2 linked regions of the Mytilus edulis genome follow. The protein of the gene in region 1 interacts with the protein of each later gene in a pairwise test. Links are inferred from orthologs where the notes say so. Each region holds a gene or a part of one and is shown on either strand. Other genes may lie near its edges.

The links. The genes of interacting proteins can lie anywhere in the genome.
Region 2: the proteins of DNA repair protein RAD51 homolog 1 (region 1) and SUMO-conjugating enzyme UBC9-B interact in a two-hybrid assay, tested with the Caenorhabditis elegans proteins (2 studies listed by BioGRID). The link is inferred for Mytilus edulis from reciprocal best matches to the Caenorhabditis elegans genes rad-51 and ubc-9.

What each region holds. Positions count from the first base shown.
Region 1 is NC_092346.1:57,670,860-57,674,621, reverse strand, and holds the start of DNA repair protein RAD51 homolog 1, read right to left. Parts: upstream 2,477-3,762; 5' UTR 2,269-2,476; intron 85-2,268; 5' UTR 60-84; coding exon 1-59.
Region 2 is NC_092352.1:32,417,569-32,421,330, forward strand, and holds the start of SUMO-conjugating enzyme UBC9-B, read right to left. Parts: upstream 2,794-3,762; 5' UTR 2,721-2,793; exon of another isoform or gene 2,630-2,720; intron 1,092-2,629; exon of another isoform or gene 1,043-1,091; intron 1-1,042. Other genes in the region: RAD50-interacting protein 1-like, read left to right, coding at 2,863-2,985. UniProt on the Caenorhabditis elegans protein: Accepts the ubiquitin-like protein smo-1 from the aos-1-uba-2 E1 complex and catalyzes its covalent attachment to other proteins with the help of an E3 ligase such as gei-17.

The DNA.
Region 1 (3,762 bases):
GTTTCTTCAGTTTCTTCTGCTTGTGCTGAGGCTTGTTGACGAGATTGTTGCATTGCCATGTTAAACGTAAAGATGATAAAGATCCTATTCAAAAAGACAAAGCTATTTTATATAATTAATTAATTTAAAATAAAACATTCATGAAGTTAAAACACGTTATAGTAATGGGAAATCAGACAAAAACCCATTGTCAATAATGGCAAAATCAAAAATAATACAAAATAGAACTTAAATTGAATTCTAACAAAGATTCAAAATATAAATGTGGACATTTCATTATCACTGGACTAGTATATATTTGTTTAGGGGCCAGCTGAAGGACGCCTCCGGGTGCGGGAATTTCTCGCTACATTGAAGACCTGTTGGTGACCCTCTGCTGTTGTTTTTTATTTGGGCGGGTTGTTGTCTCTTTGACACATTCCCCATTTCCATTCTCAATTTTATTTCACTTCTATCAATACCATTCGCTAAAACAAATCTTTTTTTATTATTTCCAATTTGCATATATCCATTAATTTTGCTGATTATGGACCTACATGTACAATAACAACAATACTTTATTTTAAGACTTTAAGGGTTACACAGTTAGCTATAAAACTAATCTTTCCTGAGGCCCTCACCATAGAAAGGCATATACAAAAATGCAAACATATACATGGCATAAATTTGTATAAAAGTCAAGTACAATGTATGATGATAATGTTCAATACAACTTGATAAAAAAAAATGTTATAAAAAAGTAAACATGGTGAAGTTATCATAAAATTTCATATAAATCCTACAAGAAATGTGAGATTGCTTTCAATGCAATTTTTCGATATAAATTACATTTAAAACAGACTTAATATATTCCTGGCAAAAAAACGACTGGCACTGAAAATAAAGCATTTTGTGTTATTGAAAATTCAACTTTTTATGAAGACAGCTGATACCAGATTTGATGTTGTGCGGGTACTCCTGTGAATGCCCTTGTTCCAATTGTTATTGTTCCGTCAAAGTGTTTTGTTGTAGGTGATGTTATCTAACGTCATTTGTGCATTTGTTGGGCATAAAATATACAAATGTCATGATCAGTACATTGTACATGTACACTGAGGTAAGGAATGAATATGCAAAATTTTATATGTTGATAAATTTCATATGTCTCGGACTGCTTTGATAACTGTTTTTAAAGATAAAATTAATCTACTTCTTATGATAGGGTTGAATCTGTACATAAGAATAAAGACAGGGGTTTGAAAAATGTCAAGCAGTTATTTTAAATAGCACTAATACTATTTTGTCTGTGACTTCCAGATATTTCTGCTCTATTAAATAGTCATTGAAATATAGCTCTGACCAATAACAAAGTAATTGACAACTTTCGAGTTCGATGCATTTCCGTCAAAAACTCTGGTTTTAGTGAACATCATTTGTGCGTTTAGGGGCGTCGTCACTTCCATTCCAATGTTGAGCGAGTGGTTGGATAATTCTATATTCATTTATGTACGAATTATTCATAATTTGGCAAATTGAATTCTCAAAATTGAAAATCAGCACTGCTGTCATTAGGGAATTGTCATTAAGTACCTACAGAACAACCATTATTTCTAGTTTATCCTGTACAATGACGATCACTAAGACGCTTGATGAACGTAAATAGTGCAGGGATACAGGCGATCCCCTCTATCTGGTTAATGACGTCATAAAGGCGAGCATAATAGGGCTCTTCACGGTTAGTTCGGCCATATTGGATAGGGGGCAGATTTTTTGGAAGGAGGTGGAAATGGTATGAAAGTGTGGGAAATCCTATGTGTGTTTCCAAGCAACAGCTCTGTTTTAATGATGTTTTCCCGTATTTTTCACACCATTTTTACCTCTATTATGAAAATCTGCCCCCTATCCAATATGGCCGAACTAACCGTAAAGAGCACTATTGACCAGTTTTTTCCGGTGACGGATGAACTTGAAAGTGGTCTATTGTTTTTCAAAATTTGGTTTTAACAAGAGAAGAAATAATTCATCACAAATTCATGCAGTTACATTTTTTTAATAAATATTGTGACAAGGGAGATAAATCTATCAGTTGTTTTAATCAAGGATTTGTATAGGATTAGATCAAATCCTTGTTTTATTTTTGGTAATTCTTGCCATTCTTTCTTATCCCTTTTAACTAAGAGAATTTTACTAATTTCGAAAAATTATATATTCACCATATCTTGCGTATGTTTGTGTGTTCAACTATAGAGTATTGCGTCTACCCAAATCTGAAAATAAAGTGCCACTCACTGAAAATTTACTGGCTGTCGCCTGTACACTTAATGCAACACGCTTCTTCTTGTCTAGCTTATCTTTAAATTAAAAAGTAATATCTTATAAGAGGTCGAAGTTTAATTCTCTGTGTTTTAGTTAAACTATTTAGTCATTTGTAAAAGTTTTCCACCAATGTTTACAAATCTAAAATCAGACGTCCCGCCACAATAATACGTCATTTCCTCTTTCTTTAAAACTAACTACCAAAAATACAATATAGACCAAAACGGCTGGTAGATTTGTCTCCCTTGTCACAATATTTATTTTAAAAACTGAGTCACCACATTTTGAAAAACAGAGTTTTTGACTTGCACACGAAAGGCTACATCGATCATGAAACGCAAGTGACCGCAAATGATACTTCTATATTTACTAGAGTAAAAGAGGGACGAAAGATACCAAAGATATCAAACCAGAGACATATATACACATGTGTATATATGTCTCTGATCAAACTCATAAATCGAAAATAAAATGACAACTCCACGGCTAAAAATGAAAAAGACAAACAGACAAACAATAGTACACATGACACAACATAGAAAACTAAAGAATAAGCAACACGAACCCCACCAAAAACAAAAAGTGTTGTAAGAAAATGTTAAGGTGGTATGGGAGTCTAAATTAAAAATGATAGAATAAATTTGTTCATATACTTTGCCAAAACGTAGTATATATATATTGACATATATTCAAAAATATTGTGAAAATGATAGTTTATCACGATTTCTTCAGGCTACAGGTTGTGACAAAATGACACATTTTTTTTCACAGATTAAACAGGAAAAAAATCATTATGTGATTATAGGAGCTGAACTGAATGATAACTAAAATTGTAAAATAAAATACGAGAAGATAGCTTTAAGGAAATGCTTTGATGATATCAAAAGAAAAGATTGGGTCACCGTGCGTTTTTTTCCAGTTAAAATACAAACTAGCACGTTTCATGTAGATTCCTTCAGAAAATGCACTATTTCAGAGTTATCTCCCATTAAAATGCTAATTTAAAAACATAAAAAAATCAAGCAAACTGAAATAATCTGCACTTGTAAAAGTATTAATAATTACAGAGACATATAATATAGTATTATGTGTCTCTGATAATTATAAGTTTTAATCTTATAAAGGAGTAGGTCCGGTAAGGACCGATTTTGGCCTTCAAATTTCAGGTTCATCTGACGAAAGATTTTGACCACTTTTTAAACACTTTTAAAATGTCTATTTTATTTGAATTATTTAGTTTATGTGAAAGATTTTAACAGATTTAGTCATTAAAAACGATCCGATTCAAGCTCAAATATGAAAAATCTACCTAATATGCCGAAAAATGTCACTTTTCAGATGGTTTTTGGTAAAAATGAAAGTGGCCGCATCCGTGTTCATCCTCAACCTTTATATATGTTATGTATTATCATAAAATACAACTAACATTTCAATATTAAGGATGAACACGAATGCGGCCACTTTCGT
Region 2 (3,762 bases), on another chromosome or scaffold:
ATGAATTTGAATGGTCAACAGAGAACAAATTTTCTTTAGTCTTTTCGGTTGAATTTGGCAGCTTTGTTCTTTGGCCACTGAACTGTATTTCCCATTAGCAGTTGGAAAAAATTTCTAACAAGTTGAAGTTTGATTTGATAAAACAAATTGCTATTCGTTCAAGTCACAGTAATAAGTTTGTTCACTCATCAAAAGAAGACATAAATAAACAAGTAGCTTTTCTACTAAAAGAAATGCACCTGAACATAATTGCCTGTTTGGTTTGAAAGATCGGAGAATTATAATATAAAGATGTGTAAATCATTCCTCATAAACATAATACATTGTACATGTAGAAAACATCTATAGATCCTAAACATAACTATATGTAGACTACCATTAGTTTGAGCAAATTTGTGTTTCAAGTAATTTATGAAAGAAAACATTACAACATGCAAAATAGGAGCCAACCACAGGATGTTCCATTTTGAGGGCACTGTTTTAGAAATTTGTATACTTTAAACAGGTGATCAAATTGTAAACACTTGAAAAGCCCTAAACCTTATTTTGAGAAATGTATTCTAACCAACCACATACAGGTAGTCATTAATAAATAACTTATATGCAACATCAAACATAAAACAAATTGTATTGTTTTACCACAAGGTTTTAATTAATATAAAGCCAAAGAATATCATTCAGTCTCTATAAATAGTTACCCAGTTTCACTCCTAAAAGGTCCTTTTGTATTTCTTTATTTTATTTTATTTTTATTCCTATTTCTACATGTCTACTGTTAAAACAATTTAGTATATTTGTTTATTTCTCCTTTGAAATTATTATGTGTAGTCCATAAGATTAAAAGTAATTCTATTTGCAGTTATAAATTATTGAAGAAATGGAATAGTTTTAAATAAATATTATCGTTATTTATCTGTACAATTTTTTTTTTTATAGAAATTTTTATTCAACGAAAGAAAATGAAAGTTTAAATTAAAAGAAAATGCCCTTTTTGTTTCTTTTTAACCATATATTAAAATAGAACATCTAAAGCAAACTCTACCTTTTTTCTCTTCAAATATCAACCACCTTCAACAGGAACCCTAACATGCGTCTCTAATTTAAAAAGTAAAGGTATGAGATACTTATATTAGAGTCTGACTTTTATTACTCCAACAAAGTCTTAAAAGATTAAATACTTAGAAACTCCAAAATGGATTTTAATTCTTCTTTATAAACCTCTTTTAAGTATAAACATTACTTTTTCTAAAGTTTTGGATAATGTTTTATATCATGATCAATTAGTAAAATATAACTCATTAGCTGCCAAATAATACAACTTGAATGAAGAAAAAAATATTCAAGTCAAATGTTTATAATAATTGGTTTATTAATTAAAGCAATGGCTTTAATTATCACCATTCACAAAAATAGTGTCTCATTTTTTTTTAACATGCCTCCAGCTATTCAATATAATGTTTATATTGCAGGGTACAAAACAAAATTGTTTTCCTTTTATTTTTGGACATGTTGGAAATCTATATAAATTCCTTCAAAAACATCTTCAAAAATAGGGATGCAATTTTGGAAAGGTACCAGTCAGTACTCCCTTTAATCACAAATGTTAAAGCTAAGTCAAACTGTTTATGATTTTGTAAAACTTTACTTTTCAGCAAAAATGACCTTGACAAGTTTTGTCAATTACTAATACATGTATGTGTTTATACAATTTAAGCATAATTACATTTACATTTACATCCTTAACTATTAAGATTATAACACAAAATTTGTTTATATAACAATAATCAGCCTTTTATATCTCTACCAGTGAGGGTGGCAGGTGCCCTTTAGATGTTTTTACAACAATGAAATGTTCAAAATGGCTGGATCCACCCCAGAGCAGGGATAGCAGTATAGGTCACTGGTGCTGTGTGCAAAAAATTAATGTCTCATGATTCCATTTCTTTGGATGACACTTTGGTGAAAAATTAAACTACATTGTAACAGTAATTTCTTTTTTATATGACAAAATTATTGGAAAACAATTGATTTTTTTACCAACAGCAAATTGGAAGCATGATTTTACTTCAAATTACAGTTTCAATTTTGGGAAAAAGTCACACAGACTAGTCACTTCTTAGTTATCTTGTCAAAAGATTAAGTAACTCAGAGAAGTAAATTATTTGGTCTATAAAAATAGACTAGTCGGTAGTCTAATAAGAATCTTCTTCCTTATAATTGAGTTTTGTTTCTAACAGTCTACAGTAAGCTTAAACTCTGTGGGCCTACCTATGGTCACATTACAAATCTAGTCCCCTTTGGTTACATACAGTATTTACAATAAAACCCAATTGATAAGGTTAAAATTATTAACAATCATTGAACAATTTGAGTCTGGGATGCAGGATGGGGCCTTAACCAGGAAAAAGGGATTTAGTCTGAAGGGGTTGTGGTAATTCAAATGTTTATCATTCAGCTTTGTTTTCAATAGCATGTCATTGAAATAGTTACTCCACGGATTAGAAAGAATAACTTGGATATCCTGTTTCCATTTAGGCAAAGAACCATTCATGATTTTCTTGTTTTAACGAAGATAACACGAAAAAATAGAATCTATTCAAAGATAACAGTTGTATATATAAAATCGTACAAATATGTGAGGGTACTTTTACAGTTTTATGTGTCATTCAAAAGAGTAAATGGTTTTAAAGAAAAATCCTTTCTCATTTCACGAAACTTACCGCTGGAAAAACTATGTCACGTGAACAGATCAATTAGACGCTTTACATTAATCTAACACCTTCGCGTCAAGCGTTTGTACGATGTATGTCAACTATTTTTTTCTAAGGGAAGCAACTATGTAAACAATCCCTTTCTTCACAGATGGCAAAATCAGAGAAGAATGTCCACGTTACAGAATACTTGAACCAAAATATAAAGACTCTATCAGATTTAAAAGATGTTCATAAAAATATAAAAGAAACTGTTGAGTCATTAGGACAACAAGTAATTAATGCCTTAAGTCATAGGAACAGTACACATGAATGAATCCATGACAAATCGCCCCACTGGCAAATCGCGAGTTTGTGAAAAAGTGTGGCGATTTGGTGTTGGGCGTTTTGCTAGTGTGGCGATTTGTCCTGCTTCCCACAGGAATGAGGATGAGCAATTTCATTTTGCTCTGTTTTTGAACTGTTGAAACATTTATGAGGGTAGTAATGGGGGTACCTTCATGACGTATATCATCGTGTAATGTGTTTTCGTACTAATAACAATTTTCACTGCTTACGGTTTTTACTGTTGAGTTTTTATTTAGGTGTTTACTCAAATTTAAAAAGCATGTCCTGTAGATTGATTTTAGGTATCTAGTTTTTTTGTCAATGATTTCTACGATTTTTTACTGTTTCCGATTACTTTGCGATTTTTGTATGTCAAAAAAACGGCGTCATATGTTTTCGTATGAAATAAAAATTGGATCAGTACACGGACAGGAAATGACTACAAAATCCGGAAATACATTTTTTCTAAAGTCGTGGTTCGGGTGATCGCTTAAATCTTAAAAAAAGTTATTAAATACTTTTCAGTACAAAAAATTACTAGTAAAAAGTGTAAGGTTGGTGTTTCGTGTGATGAAATTTTTACGGATTTTGATTAATTTCAGATTGGCACCTGGTTTGTACAAAATACATTATTTTTTCTAAAATAAAATGCAGTTTTCAAAATTTATGATTAAATATAAAAAGTTAAGACTGTTTTCATCTTCATGTATCAAGGATGTATAAA